2 linked regions of the Sus scrofa genome follow. The protein of the gene in region 1 interacts with the protein of each later gene in a biochemical or structural test. Links are inferred from orthologs where the notes say so. Each region holds a gene or a part of one and is shown on either strand. Other genes may lie near its edges. The genes, in order: KDM5C and histone H3.2.

Region 1 (8,428 bases):
AGCTGTATGGATCCTTAAGGAGAACCTTGTTCTACTCTTACAAGTCTCCTTGATATTGTGGAAAAGAACTGATGCTATGCTGTGGGTCAGGAAGAAAGGAGTCTAAGGGAAGGTCAGACTCAGTGTCTATTTTTGAGAAGCTTATGGTCCTTGATCATTTTCACATCTCGAGCCCTGTAATTACTGAATGGAGTGAGGTAGAAAGGGAAAGGATACTCCCCCTCACTTCCTCAAGTGGAGGAAGGTGGCCACAACTGTGGTAGAATGTTGTTTCTTCTAAATACCTAGATACCCTAATCTTTGATTAGTAACACTAAGATATGTAATAAAAAATACTACTCACAGATTATATAGTATACCAAAACAAGCTGAAGGTGAGAAGAAATTCAGGTGAGGACCACTTGACCTAGTCCACAGTCCTACTGTACAGATGACCAGGGATTTCAAGGAGAAATTAATTCAGAGAGTACTGACTATCTACCATGTCCCATGCATTAGACTAAGTAGACTAAGTGGCAGGACAGCCAAGGCTGCTGGGGCAGGCATGTTTGAAGGAGATGGGGGAGGATTAGCAGCAGAGAATAAGACTCAAAGCAGAGGTACTCACCCCTGCTCTTACAGGATTGTTGATCAGGTTGTTTTAAGATTCATACTAGAAAACTGGCTGATGCTATTCAATTTTAGAAATTCCCTGGAATATAAAGCCCTTTATAGGTAAGCCAGGTTGTATACCCTGAATGGGAGAGAAGTCCATAGAGAAGGAGAACAGGACAAGCCAGGACTCTGGGTTCAGCTTTTTTTTCTTTTTTTAAATGCTGAAAGATACTGGCACTTTTTTTAAGGTTACTTTTTTACCCCAGCTTTACTAAGATATAATTAACATATAATAACTGTGTAAATTTAAGGTATACAACATGTTGATTTAATACACTTATATATTGCAAAATAATTACCACCACAGACCTCTGATCTGTTAAATAAGTAAAAAGACCTACCTACTGCTTGGAGAACGGTTACAATATGGAGGGTACAGCAAAGACTGGTAGTTGTCCTCCTATATTTATTCTTACCCTCTTTCATAATAACATAACTTCCAATTTGTGGCTGGTACATGACCATCCTTAATAAAAATTAGATTTTCCAGTTTTCCTTGTAGCTAGATGTGGCCATGTGACTAAGCTGTGACTAACAGGAGATGAATGGAAATGATGTATGCCTTTAGAAGTTAAGACGACTTGTCTTGCCTGGTCCCCCCTACATTTCCCTCTCCCACTGACTGGAATGTAGATGTGGTAAGAAGCCTTCCCTAAGGCGCTGCTCTCAAACACCTGGCCCAGAGCGCACATCATCACATTGTATATCTAATCACTATTATTTTGGGTCTCTATTAGAGCCATCAAACCTATAGTCCAATTTAGAAAGAAAAGGAATGAGAAAGAGACAGGGGTAGATTCCAGACAATCACCACCACTACCACCACAAGTCATCACTAACTCATTCCTACCCCTTGCTCCTGTTTCCTGGGTACTCACCGGCACACCATGGGACATGAGGGTGTTGGGATTCATGAGGGTGACAAGTTGGTGCAGAAGATCAGGCTGGCTATCAAAGAGCTCAGGTGTCAGCTTCTTCATCACCTCTTCCAAATGTTCTGCTGCAAGTGAGGGTACCCCATACCAGGTCTTCGGCTCACCCCTGGCCAAATAGAAAGGGGACAGTCAGAGTGGGCACACCTGTGGTACAGAAGGAGCCCCACTCTGACTGTTTCCCTGGCTTCCCAGGACCCCAACTCACCAATGGAGGTAGTTAATGGAGTAACTCCAGTGATCCTCAATATGCCAGCAAAAGGCTGAGAAGACCATGCCTACATAGAGCCAGGGCACCTTCATGCCAGAGATATCTGCATTGATGTGGCACAGTACAGACTGCTCCAACACTGGCATCACATTCAGGTTCCAACCACTTGTAGCATATTCCTGTCGGGTGAGGTATTTGTGGAAAAGGGATGAGGGTTTTGCTAAGATGCTGAGATCTTTAGCCCAGGGAACCTTAATTTTGAAGCCACAGACCTTTCTGAAACATCTAAGAAATACTACAGGTTTTCTCCCAGCCGCTCTCAAATGCATACACACAAAATTTCAATTCACTTCACTTTACTTCAATTTTAGGGAGGTTTATAGATATACCTATCCACCAAATACCTGCAAGTTAAAAGCCCTTGCTCTGGACAAAAATGCATACTTCCCCTTGAAACAGGCCTAGGCCCTCATTTTTTCCCTGCATTTATAATCCCAGTCCCTGAACACTTTTTATGAATGAGCCGGGCACCCTGCCAGGCACGTTCGCATACTTTCTTATTTAATTGTTTGTTTGGTTTTTTTTTCATATGGAGGTTCCCAGGCTAGGGGTCGAATCGGAGCTATAGCCGCCGGCCAACGCCACAGCCACAGCCACTCCAGATCCGAGCCAAATGTGCAACCTACACCACAGCTCACGGCAATGCAGGATCCCCAATCCACTGAGTGAGGCCAGGGATCGAACCCGCAACCTCATGGTTCCTAGTTGGATTTGTTGCCACTGTGCCACAATGGCAACTCCCTCTTTTGTTATAAAATTCATGAGGTGACTACTACCCCCACTTTACAAACAAAAGAAAAAGCCAATCTCATGTCAAGAGATTCTATACTAGATACTAGACTGTGTTCTTTACATACGTCATCCCATCTAAATCTCACAGCAACCACATAAGGCAGGTATAACTGTCCCTATCCTATAGAGATACTGCGTTTTTCAGATACTAAAATAACTTGCCTAAGCTTACACATCTCACATATAACCATGAATCATCTACTCACCTCCTCCTCAGGGGTTAGGTGCCGCTTACTGTCACTGACAGGGAAACCACTACCAAATTCTTTGGAATGGATGTCAGCCCCATACTCAACAGTCACATCTTCCTCAATGCTATTCACCAGCCGCCAGAATTCCTTCTCCACGAGTTCTGTGGGCACCATCTAGGAAACAAGGGTAGCAGATGACCACGGCTCATCACGTCCTGGCCCCATTGACCCAGGAGAGCTAAGACCATCAGGCACCAAACACCTACGACCCTAGCCCTGACACTACCCCAGCCCTCCATCACCTACGTGTACGGGCATGTTGAAGTAATCGGCTTTAAAGGAGTCAGCCATTTCGCCAAAGCTCTGCAGAGTGTATTCCCGGGTAGCCTGCTCAAAGCCAAAGGCTTCGGGGGGGCGCTTACACTCCTGAAACCCAAAGGAGAACATGTCACCAAGGCAGAGGCATAGAGGTGGAGAATCCTCAAAAGCGGAGCTAGAATATGGGGGGTAGGAATAAGGAGGGAGAACAGCCCTAGGTCTGTACTGAAGGCCCCTGAGGCAGGCCTCATGTCATAGCTCTACCTTTTTCTCCTAGCACTTCAGTGTAGTCGGTCTCTTCATTCCCCACACGTATTTCTACCATGGTTTTACTCTTCCTTCAGGGCTTTAGTATCTAAACCACGGGCTCTGACTTAAACATACTACCCTATGCTCTTCTGCCACTTTTTCTTTCGAGATAAAATGTGAGTTTATACAATGCTTAGAGAGGTTTTTCTATGCCCAGACTGGAACTACAGGCCTGGGAACATGTCACCAAATACTCTAGTAGCTTGGAGGATGGGAAACTAATGCACTAGCTTCCAGTGTCAAACTCCACACTATTCCTGTTCTTTACTGTCTCAGTAGACAGGATATGTCTAACTCACTTGTTCCAAAGCTCACGGTTTTAGATGAGAGGTGTGTGTACCCCAGAGTCAGGCAGACCTCCTGCTCCTGTCTGAAAACAATGCCAATTTGGTCCACTGACCCACCGCCACTTAGAGAAGCATGCCAAGAAGAGCTGATAGTCTTTGTTGTCAAGATACTGCTGGTATCCAAACTCCTCCCTAAAGGAATCCCCACCACTACTAAGGCCATTACACACTGCCCTGGTCTCCTTCCTCATCTGTCTGTGTTTGTGTGAATGCACATGCACACCTGGTCTCTAAGACCACAGCTGTCTCTCTAAGATAGGGCAAGAGACTATCGATGTCTACTCTCCAGAAATCCAGAGAGATAGAGATGAGCACCTGGAATTTGGATGAAGGAAGGTAGGAGGCTCATGAAACAGACCTGGCAGACTTCCCAGGCTCTTAGCCCTCACTGCTGCTTCACCTGCTTTCCCCGCTGCCTCTCTTGTACTAGGTACATTCTCCCCATACACCCTTGCTCTTGCAACCCTCCACCCACCAAGGGCTCTAGAAAGCCTGCCCATCTCATGTAGTTAAAGTCTACAACATTGCAAACCAATCTAATTATCACAACAGAAGGAAAACGACTAAACATTATACCCACATGATGGGACCCCTACAAGGAAAAAAAAAATCATACCCGTGAATAATTTAATTATACAGAAAAGTGATTATAAAGTAACAAATGAAAATGTGCAATAAGATCCCAAACTTGTTATATAAGATAGTTATATATATGCAATAATGAAAAGATGAGAAGAAAATATACCAGACTATTAATAATGGCTGTCTCTAGGTGGTGTGATGATACGTAATTTGTCTATTTTCCAAGCTTTCTAAAAGAAACAAAGAATACAGAACTTGGAAATCAAAATAACATTTTTTCCTTCATATTCCTGTCCTCCAAATCTCATTGCTGACACCTTCTCTTATTACTACCCTCAGTCATCTTCCTCTTCCTCTGGACTTCTACACCTGAGTTTTTGAACAAACAACTTAACATTTGATTATACATCTTCACATACAATGTCTAACCATGACTCTCACAACCCCAGGCGGTCTGAGAGCTCCCAGAGAACACAGGGTAAGTGTCCTCCTCTTCTTTCTCCCAAAGCTGTGCCTCTAGCCTAGCCCCACCCTAGGGACCCAAACAGAAGCCTGTGGCTGAGCTAGGAGGCTGCTCTAAGACCAGATGAAGAAAGGCAAAGACAGCCTATGAGGCAAAGACTGGGGCTAGGAAGTCCTTACCGCCATGACACACTTTGGGCACCGCCAAACACCCTTGGGAATCTCAGGCAAAGGAGGCAGCAAGCAGAAGATGTGGTAGTTGTCATCACAGCCATCACACAGCAGGAGCTTGTCGTCCTCATCCCCTCGGGAACACATCCGGCATACATATGACTCAATCTGCCAGGGGAGGGAGGCAACAGTTCATTAACCTAAGCCCTGTGCAGCCTTTCAACCACCAGACTCCTCTAGACAGTAACCTAGTCCACAGAGATCTCCATTAGAAACCCACTGTACTTGCTGGCTGGCTGATTCATGGCCCTATACAGGTCAGTCATGCTAGCTCTGGAGTTTAACTACGTGCATGTACCATCTCCCCCAAATAAACTGGGAGAGCTCTGACAGCAGAGTCTATCATTCAGTCTTGAATCCCTCATTTTTATTCATTCAATAAACACTGAATACTTATGCTCAACATTATGCCAGACTCTGCAGTACAGTGATAAATAAGACATGGTATCTGCCTTTTCTTTCTTTTTTAAATGGCTGCACCTGTGGCATATGGAAGTTCCTGGGCCAGGGACTGAACCCAAGCCACAGATGCAGTAACGCTGGATCCTTTAACACACTGCACCATGCTGGGGATAGAACCTGCACCTCCGCAGCACCCCGAACTGCTGCAGTCAAATTCGTAACCCACTGCACCATGGCAGGAACTCCAGCATCTGCCTTCTAAAGGCATGCAGTACTCTAGAGGCACAAGTTCATAAAAATTAAAGGACAGTGTGGACACTGCCAATAGCAGCCTACAAAAGGGTACTATGGGAACCTAAAGGAGGAAGCATCTGAATCAGCAGGAAATAAGTAGAGACAGCCCCGAGGAAGAACTTCACTGAAAAGGTGATGTTTGAAGCTGACTGGAACCTAAAGGTAAACTGAAATTTGGCTATGGGGCAGAGCACAAAGGGAAACGCTTCTAGGCAGAAGAAACAGCATGTGCATAGGATGGGAAAAAGAAAGCATGGCACATCTTGGGGGAAAAAAACAAACATACCTACAAGTAGTTCAGTGTGGCTATAGCAGAGTGAGGTGGGCAGTGCTGGGGAATGAGGCTAGAGGTCAGCAGGGACTGGATCATGCATGGTAATGAGAAGCTTAGACTTTATCCTGAAGCAATGGAGAGGGAGTCTCCTTCTCCGCACCCTTCCAGCACTTCATGTTGACAGCACTTGATCACCCTTTCTTGCTCTTTGTTCCATGTGAGTTGGCCTTGTTTCCCCAATTAAGTGAGCTACCTGAGGGCAGGGCCCACCAGGCCCACTTTTCTGCTTAATGCAACCTGGTCCAATGCCATGCTGGGGAAAGGCTCGTTGAAGGGATGAGAAGCAGAACATTAGGAAGTCAGGGCTGGGTCCTTACAAACTGGGCATTGCTGTGGTTCCTCCGCAGCCTCATGGTCATCTTGGTGCAGGGCTCTGGGCTGTGACTCAGCTCCTCCTTGCTCTCCAGGAAGGTCTTGGGTGAAGTTGACTCCACCTTCACATCCCCGCCTGACTCCTCCTTCACCACTACTGTTGGGGGGCACTCAGGCCCTTCCTTATCTGGGAGAGAGAGAAATGACTCTACAGTTCAGGAGGTCTGAATAGTCAGGGCCACCTCCTCTCCCTTCACACTGCCCAGCCTGCCAGGCCTCACCTTTCTTCCGCAGAGTCTTATCCTTGGCCATGAGGCCCAGGCCCATCATCTTGGGGCCTGCCCCATAGATCTGAAGCTTCTTCAGTTCAGGGTTCTTTTCAATGTCTTCCTCTGTGGGTTCCGGCTGTAAGGAAAGAAGGAGATGAATCAAGACTGCTATCTGGGGCAAACTGCCCCATCCTAAAAGAACAATAGCTTGGGACTACATATATCACCTGAGCTCATGGCAGGTATGGGGCATAGGTGGGCCAGAGCAAGAATTCAGATTGCTTTTTGGAGACTGGGATAAGTGAACTCCCTCCTCATCCCTCTATTGGAAAGGAAATAAGAGAGGATCTCAGTTTTTCCAACTGTAAAGTGAGAATATTAACTCCCACATTACAGTTACAAGGGGATTTGAGGATATAAAGAAATCTAAGTGCTCGACGCTACCAGTTAGGTGGCAGTGACTAATATGATCTGGTAAATTACATGCTTTGCTGAGCCCAGGGACAGTGTCTATCTTGTTCTCTGTTGTATCTCCAGTGTCTAGAAGAATGCCAGCACATAAGCTTCTGCCTGAAGCTAGGGTATAGTACAAGGAGAATGAAATCTACCCCTCTGAGCAGAGTGAGTCAAGAAGGGAACAAGACAGGCAAGAACAGCAGACATAGAAAAGATATTATACGAACAAAACCCAGCCCAGACGCTCAGCTGAGAATAGAGGAAGAACAAGAGGGAAGCCTGAGAGAGGCACACTACTGTTAGAACCGAGAGAAGGGAGAGTGGACCAGGGAACAGGGCCTCGGCCACAGGGAGGGCAAGGACTCTACCTCCAAAGTTCTAAGTTAGAAGAAGGGAAATACTCACATCAGGCTGCAGTCTCTTGGCTCGCCGGCCATAACTGTTGAACTTGGAGGGTTGTACAGACTGTCGAAGGGGGATACTGTGGGGTTTATATTCCTTGTCCTTCTCTTCATTATCAAATGGACGTGTGTTGCACTGCTGGGGACAGGTAAGGGGTAAGGGTCAGGGCATGGGGCCCCAGCCCCTAACAGCAAAGACTTCTTCTACCCTCGCCCAATGGCAACCAAAGCTCTGGTTTCACCCTCCTCCCCACAACCTGCACCAATAGGTCCTATTCAAATGGTGTTTACCACAGATACCAGCACACACTTTGAGAATTCTCATGCCTTTATTTATGCTATCCCTCCTTCCAACCACCTCCCCTCAACCACCTCCCCAACTAAATCAGACTTCATCTCTTCCCAGACCTCTCCAGGTCTCCAGTCCACAGAACCAGTTCCACTAAGAACAAGTGTGGCAGGAAACTATATTCAGTATCCTGTGATAAACCATAATGGAAAAGCACATGAAAAAGAATATGTATGTATAAATGAATTACTTTGTTGTATAGCAGAAATTAATACAATATTATAAATTAACTATACTTCAATAAAAAAAAAAAAAAGAACAAGTGCAGAAATCTGCATCTAGTAGGGGAAAGCCTCTTCCCACCCCACCTTGGTTTGGCATCCTTACCACCAGGTTGGCTCCAGACTGGTACATCTCATAGGGGTAAACAATGCGTTCATAGTGAGAGCGTAGCAAAGAGCCAATGTTCTTGCCTGGTGGGTAGTTGAGGCGCTGGGCCACCCGGGCCCACCGACGGTCCTTGCAGATGGCTTCATAGCCACCTTCTTCCACCACGATCTGTAAGGACAAGCAGGAAGGACA
Region 2 (7,339 bases), on another chromosome or scaffold:
GAAAAAGGCAAAAGACAAAAAAAAAAAAAAAAAAAAAAAAAAAATCTGATAAAGGTGTTGTATTAATTTCCTATGGTTGCTGTAACAAGTAACTATAAACTTGATGGCTTAAAACACAAACTTATTCTCTTATGATTCTGGAGATCAGAAATACAGAAATCAGTTTCACCAAGTGGATCTCAAAACTGTACTCTCTCCAAAGGTTCTAGGGAAGAATCCTTTTCCATGCAATTTCCAGGTTCTAGAGGGACATTTCTTGAGTCATGGTCCCTTCCTCCATTCTCAAAGCCCACATCCTACCATCTTCAAGTCTCTCTGTTCCCATAACCTTCCTCCCTTGCCTTACATAAGGACATTGGTGATCCTTTAAGGTAATATTCACAGATTCTAGGAATTTAGATGTAGACGTATTTGGGAGCCCCTTTCAGCCTACCACAGCTGTTGACTACTGTTATGGGCTGAACTGTGAAAAGATATGTTGAAGTCTAACTCCCAGAGCCTTAGAATATGACCTTATTTGGTTGTGTGTGTGTGTGTGTGTGTGTGTGTGTGTGTGTGTGTGTTTGCCTTTTCTAGGGCAGCTCCTGCAGCATATGGAGGTTGACAAGCTAGGGGTCTAGTTGGAGTTGTAGCTGCTGGCCTACGCCAGAGCCTACACCGCAGCTCACGGCAATGCCAGATCCTTAACCCACTGAGCAAGGCCAGGGATTGAACCCACAACCTCATGGTTCCTAGTCAGGTTCGTTTCCACCTCGCCGCCACAGGAACTCCCGTTTAGTCTGTTTTTGTATGTGGCTAATTCTGTTTTCTGGGAAATACAAGTGGCGGTTGTTCTCAAACGTGAAGCCACCCAGTGAGATTTTTAAAATTCCAAGTGATGGCTGTATCCAAAATCACTTAAATCAGAATTTCTGGGGATGGCACCCAGGCACCAGTATTTTTAGAAGTTCTCAGGGTACAATGGGGAAATTTGAGACCCAAACATAAGGGGTTGGGTGAGTTCCTTAATGAAAATCAGCGTACAATTAGAGAAACAGAAGAAAAATGCCATAGTCAATAATATACATTGTAGGGCTATCAACTACTAAGTTATACTTCATAACAAACATAAGAAATCAAGTCTTGAAGAATACTTTACGGAAACACAGAAGGAGAAATAAAGCCTAGAAGAATACTACTGTGTTTATAGAGTATGGACAAAGAATGTCACCTGCCATTTCAGTAAATAATAGATGCTGTGGCCAAAAAGCGATCAACCACTGCAGCCACCCCTACAGTGCACCCTGAGGGGATTCAGGATGGAGAAAAACAAGATGATGGCCCTGCAGAGTTAAGGTGCATATCAAAGGAATGGTTTCAATAAGCCCAGACTCTTGCATCTTCCTATACCTAAAAGCACTAAAAGCATTAACTTGAGATGTCTGTTTTCGTGATTAGCAGTTGCATTTTTTTAGAAAGAGATGGGGATCATGTTATTCAGATTCCTGCTGAAAGCAATCCAAGGGTTCCCAAAGTACTAAAACTAAAAGTGTGAGGCCAATCTCCTTTGCCCTCCCAGCCACTGGGGCTTTCTGCTGCTCTAACAGTTCAAACTTTTTCGTCCTTCGGAAATTATGCATATTTCGTTCCCATTGTATGGACATATCATTTAAATTGGGCAAGTTTTCTGAGTGATAATTCTCTAGGGAGGACACTATCACCAAATATTAAGCAGGTCTTATGTGATCTGATGAGATGAAGTAAAGAGAAGGCACCAGCATACCGGCTGATTCCTGGGGATCAAAATCAAGCTTCTATTTTCCTAATTGGGGAATCTACATATAAACAGGCTACACAGATACTTGTAAGTGCAGTATACACAAACTCATGGAATTTGTTAGTACCAAATCTAATAATTATCTTTTTTTGTACACAATAGAGCACATGGGTAAAAAAATTCTGCCACCAGCATTTTGTTCCTTAACACCAGACGGCTACACCTTTGAAGTTTTATGCTGCATGCAGAAGTTTATATACTACAAAAAAAGAAAAAAAGGCATTTTGCTTAACAACTTGGATGTAGACACATGCACTTGCGTTCAATCAAGTCCAAACCAGTTTCAAGAGCAGTTCTATGACAAAATATAGCATGCCTACCCTCCATTAGGTTCTTTCACCCAACTAGGTAAGCATACCTATCCGTCAAATATCTGGATGGAAATAGAATTTGTTTCTAACTACTGGCAACTCCCAGTATTAACTAGAAGAAACCAAAAGGCAAAGTAGGAAAACAGGACCCGGATAAAACAAGATGACAGCTTCTTCCATTGAGAAGATGGGTGGCTCTGAAAAGAGCCTTTTGGAGTCAAGCGACCCGGCGATCGGGCGAGCGCCACTATCCCGGCAGGGACTCACTTGGAGCTGGTGTACTTGGTGACCGCCTTGGTGCCCTCGGACACGGCGTGCTTGGCCAGCTCGCCGGGCAGCAGCAGGCGCACGGCCGTCTGGATCTCCCGGGACGTGATGGTCGAGCGCTTGTTGTAATGAGCCAGGCGGGACGCTTCGCCCGCGATGCGCTCGAAGATGTCGTTGACGAAGGAGTTCATGATGCCCATGGCCTTGGACGAGATGCCCGTGTCCGGGTGCACCTGCTTCAGCACCTTGTACACGTAGATGGAATAGCTCTCCTTGCGGCTGCGCTTCCGCTTCTTGCCGTCCTTCTTCTGGGCTTTGGTGACGGCTTTCTTCGAGCCCTTCTTGGGCGCCGGGGCGGACTTGGCGGGCTCAGGCATAACGGCAGACACCAGCTGCAAAGGACAACCGGGAACGCAAAGGCAACAACTACACGGAGGCTACCGGAAGCGACTCGGTACTTATAGAGGCCGTACGCAAATGAAGGCTTGGGTTCCGCCGCGTTGCGATTCGCGAGTTTTCAGTGGCTCTGCTGCGAGGGGAGACGAGGTTATGTAAATGAGTGGATTCTGGTTGCGCTATCCTATTGGCCACCGGGACACAGATGTGCTCTAGCCAATCAACGTGCTCCGTAGCCAATCGCCGCTCTGCCTATAAAAAGGTGAAGCGGGGCCGTTTAGGGCGACTTTCTCGGTCACCTAAGCGGGAGCCGGTTGCAGTGAGTGTCGTTGTCATGTCTGGTCGTGGCAAACAGGGAGGCAAGGCCCGCGCAAAGGCCAAGTCCCGTTCGTCCCGCGCAGGTCTGCAGTTCCCCGTAGGGCGGGTGCACCGCTTGCTGCGCAAAGGCAACTATGCCGAGCGGGTGGGGGCCGGCGCGCCCGTCTACATGGCGGCGGTGCTGGAGTACCTGACCGCGGAAATCCTGGAGCTGGCGGGCAACGCGGCGCGAGACAACAAGAAGACGCGCATCATCCCCCGCCACTTGCAGCTGGCTATCCGCAACGACGAGGAGCTGAACAAGCTGTTGGGCAAAGTCACCATCGCCCAGGGCGGCGTCTTGCCCAACATCCAGGCCGTGTTGCTCCCCAAGAAGACGGAGAGCCACCACAAGGCAAAGGGCAAGTGAGGCCGGCATCCGGAAGCCCACCCAGCCCCGTCCGGAAGGGGCACCTGTGAAATCAAAGGCTCTTTTCAGAGCCACCCACTCTTTCAAATAAAAAAAAGAGTTGTTACACTAGCCAGCTTTCTCCTTAACTCCACCCTTGGTAGTAAGCACGGAGGTGGGCGGAGGGAGTGCCGTTTGCCCTCTACTCCCTGCCGTTCCTCACTCGCCTCTGGAACTAGGTGCTTTAGCCGTTATTTTGCTGGGAAGCGGGTGCGGGTGGGAGTGTGGCAAATCCTAGGATCTAATTAACGCAGGTAGAGGTAGCAAACCTTGCTTGGGCGAGCCAGGGTCGACTCGGCTGCTGAAAGTAAGCAGTACCAGGCGGCCGCGACGCTCTATCTCGAAGTCGGATGCCCGGTGAGCAACTGCAGTTACTTCCCAAGCCTCTGCCCAACACCTGAGGTCTAGCACCAAGGGGACGTTCCCTCGCACACGCGCACGCCCCGTACACCCCAGTCGGTTAGGGGATAAAGACGGTTTTCGGGAGCGTAGCGGACGTGGGTTTTGGCTTGAGCCCACCGTCTTTGGAAGGGGAGTGGGGGGAGTGAGGAGGCGCCTTCGCGGCGGGGATGGGGATAACAGGTCCTGAGGCTCTCGGAAGTGGAGTCTTGCTCCCGGAGAGGGCGCAGATAACCTTCCGATCCGAAAAGCACCAAAGGGCCGGGGGGCGGGGGGGGGAAGATCGGCCAGACTAGCAGCTAACCTAGGGGGTTCTGACAAGGTAACAAGGCGTTCAGGGGGCGGGGGTTCGGTCCGGGAGGTAAAAAGCGTGGAAAGGAGGCGGGCATCGGGGGTAGCGTGTTCTAAGGGAGCGAAGGGCTGAAGAGGAACGTTCTGACACAGTCGCGCTCAAAAATGACTCTCGCCGGGAAGAAAGGAAAGACGAGGCCGGGAAAACTGCTGGCAAACTGGAAAGTAGAAAGGGAGGGAGGGAGGGAGGGTGGGGGGCGGGCGGAGGAGGATTCTGCCCAAGCCAATCAGTGGCGCTAGGGCTGGTGAGGTCACAGCCAATAGAGAGCCAGCGCGGGACTTTCAATTATTGTCCCGCCCAATCGGGACAAGCCTGTGCCTATAAAGACTGCTGCGGCGGGCGTCCCCCTGGTTACTCTCCCTTCGCTGCGCTGGTAAGCTCGTGTTTTGGCTCGCCGCCATGGCCCGTACTAAGCAGACTGCCCGCAAATCGACCGGGGGCAAGGCCCCGCGGAAGCAGCTGGCCACCAAGGCGGCCCGCAAGAGCGCGCCGGCCACCGGCGGCGTGAAGAAGCCCCACCGCTACCGGCCGGGCACCGTGGCCCTGCGGGAGATCCGGCGCTACCAGAAGTCGACCGAGCTGCTGATCCGCAAGCTGCCCTTCCAGCGCCTGGTGCGCGAGATCGCGCAGGACTTCAAGACGGACCTGCGCTTCCAGAGCTCGGCCGTGATGGCGCTGCAGGAGGCGAGCGAGGCCTACCTGGTGGGGCTGTTTGAAGACACGAACCTGTGTGCCATCCACGCCAAGCGCGTGACCATCATGCCCAAAGACATCCAGCTGGCCCGCCGCATCCGCGGGGAGCGGGCTTAGAGAAAGAAGTGCGCACTCGGCTCGAGGTTCCATCACATCCAAAGGCTCTTTTCAGAGCCACCCACAACCGCACTTGGAAGAGGCTGTGCCACTTTTCCGCGCTCTGTCCGGCGGACTCTCCCATAGCTCGGGGAAGGGAGGATGTTCGAGCCGGCAGAAGCACTGACTGGGCTCCGGGTACCCAAGTGGGTTAGAGGCCAGGTGTCCGGTCTAGCCCCCTGCTTGCTGGCCGCCTCCTGGCGCGTTAGAAGCTTTTGAGTCCTTCAAGAGTTTGGTCAGCTGGCTTCTCCGCTTTCTTGGGCGCGGCCATGGGTCCTCCTCAAAGGGCAAGGCGTCTCCACGGCGGCCCAGAACCGTAGTCTGTTCCAGGGAGGGGCGGGGGGGGCGGGGAGGACGGGTTGAGGCCGGGCGGGGTCACTAGGGGACGCTCAGGATTCGCGCTCCAGGGCGCGCAGGGGCCTGGCCTTTTACGCAGCTGGGAGCCGCGCGAGTATGGGTGCGTCGTCACTCCCCCCACACCCACGCCAACCCGGTGCGTTTCTCTGGCTCGGGAGGGAAATGGCCACCTCCGTCCGTCTGTCCATCCGTCCTCGTTTCTGTCGGGTAAAACCAGGCAGTCCTGCCTTTCAAGGGTTTGTGATTTGGGTCCTCCCTACCACCCTCTGCTTTCCCCCCCTCTCCTTTTGTCTTTATGCCTGCATCCTCAGCACCTGGAAGTTCCCAGGCTAGATGTCAAATCGGACCTCTAGCTCCTGGCCTATACCGCAGCTGTAGCAACGCTAGATTACAGCCTCTTGTGAGACCTACACGGCAGCTCAGGGCAAGGCTGAATCCTTAAACCACTGAGCAAGGCCTCGGATCCAACCCTCGTCCTCTTGAATACTAGTCCGGTTTGTTATCACAGGACCATGAGGGGAACCTCCACTCTGCTTCTCATCAAAAGTCGGAATGGCAGAGTTCCTGTCGTGGCTCCTTGGTTAACGAATCCGACTAGGAACCATGAGGTTACAGGTTCGATCCCTGGCCTTGCTCAATGGGTTAGCGGACTCGCCGTGAGCTGTAGTGTAGATCCCAGACGCGGCTTGGATCCCGCGTTGCTGTGGCTCTGGCATAGGCTGGTGGCTACAGCTCTGCTTGGACCCCTAGCCTGGGAACCTCCATATGCCCCAAGAGCAGCCCAAGAAATGGCAAAAAAAAAAAAAAAAAAAAAAAAAGTCGGAGTGGCTAGCAGGGTGCTGTCCAGACCTTAGGTCTATTTTTGTGAGCTGGGCCTTAAACTGGCTGTTTTTCTGTTCCATTTCACTGAGTGAGTCTCACCTCCCTGAAGTAATTTCTAAACGCTTCAATTGTATCTGGGTTCTCTGTCAATAGTTGGTAGTATCTTGTTAATACGTTTTTTTCAGTCATGTGGGAAGTCTGTCCTCAGGTTTTGGATTACTCGGTGAAAGGACAAAAGTGGGGTTCTGAGTTCTGGGAGATCAAACAGGCAGAACATGGTCCTCTTTTGAGGAGATGAAGTTTCCCTCTGAAGGAGGCCTTAGAGATGATTTTTGTACATTTGGGAAGTGCAGGGCCTCTAGTGGGCTCAGAGTGAAGACAGGGTCTTGCAGAGCCCATCTCCACAAGTTCAGATACAAAGCTGTACAGATCTTAGGTGACAACTCTTCTTAACCTTCTTAAACTTGGAAGAAGCTAACTTGTTTTCTGTTTTGTCTTGGTTCAGTGGCAGGTGAAAAGCATTAACTGATGAGTGAGAATTCACAGAGGACATAGGGAAAAGGAAGGATACTTAGTTTTGTTTTTCTTTCTTACTGTCACATGTAGGAGTTGAATTCGAGCGGCAGCTGCAGCAATGTGGGATCCTTAATGCACTGAGCAAGGCCTGAATGAACCCACATCTTCACAGAGGCAACATGGAGCCCTTAACCTGCTGAACTGCTGAGCCACAACTGGACTCCAATTTTTTTTTTTTTTTTTTTTTAAGCTCCTGTTGCCTCTTTTGAGATGTGCGAGAAATGGGGAGAGCAGTATATAGACTGTGGCCCTCCTGCTACAGTTTGCCACATGTTTCTGCTTCAGCCAGCAGTCACAGCAATTTCCAGAGCATGCCTCCCAGGGCTCTGCCCAGACCGTTATTACCTGCTTAGTCCCCCACTGCAGGATGGATTCAGCCTGGGTCTGTACTCTTCTGAGTTAAGAAGTAGAGACTTAAGGGGGGTGGC

What was found.
Region 2: the proteins of KDM5C (region 1) and histone H3.2 form a complex in vitro, tested with the Homo sapiens proteins (3 studies listed by BioGRID, with this or other methods). The link is inferred for Sus scrofa from reciprocal best matches to the Homo sapiens genes KDM5C and H3C15.

What each region holds. Positions count from the first base shown.
Region 1 is NC_010461.5:45,987,218-45,995,645, forward strand, and holds part of KDM5C (lysine-specific demethylase 5C), read right to left. Parts: intron 8,405-8,428; coding exon 8,234-8,404; intron 7,697-8,233; coding exon 7,562-7,696; intron 6,837-7,561; coding exon 6,713-6,836; intron 6,619-6,712; coding exon 6,437-6,618; intron 5,198-6,436; coding exon 5,039-5,197; intron 3,267-5,038; coding exon 3,147-3,266; intron 3,015-3,146; coding exon 2,856-3,014; intron 1,977-2,855; coding exon 1,795-1,976; intron 1,696-1,794; coding exon 1,533-1,695; intron 1-1,532. UniProt on the Homo sapiens protein: Histone demethylase that specifically demethylates 'Lys-4' of histone H3, thereby playing a central role in histone code. Does not demethylate histone H3 'Lys-9', H3 'Lys-27', H3 'Lys-36', H3 'Lys-79' or H4 'Lys-20'.
Region 2 is NC_010446.5:99,194,537-99,201,875, forward strand, and holds histone H3.2, read left to right. Parts: upstream 1-4,706; coding exon 4,707-5,117; downstream 5,118-7,339. Other genes in the region: histone H2B type 2-E, read right to left, coding at 2,391-2,771; histone H2A type 2-A-like, read left to right, coding at 2,996-3,517. UniProt on the Homo sapiens protein: Core component of nucleosome. Nucleosomes wrap and compact DNA into chromatin, limiting DNA accessibility to the cellular machineries which require DNA as a template.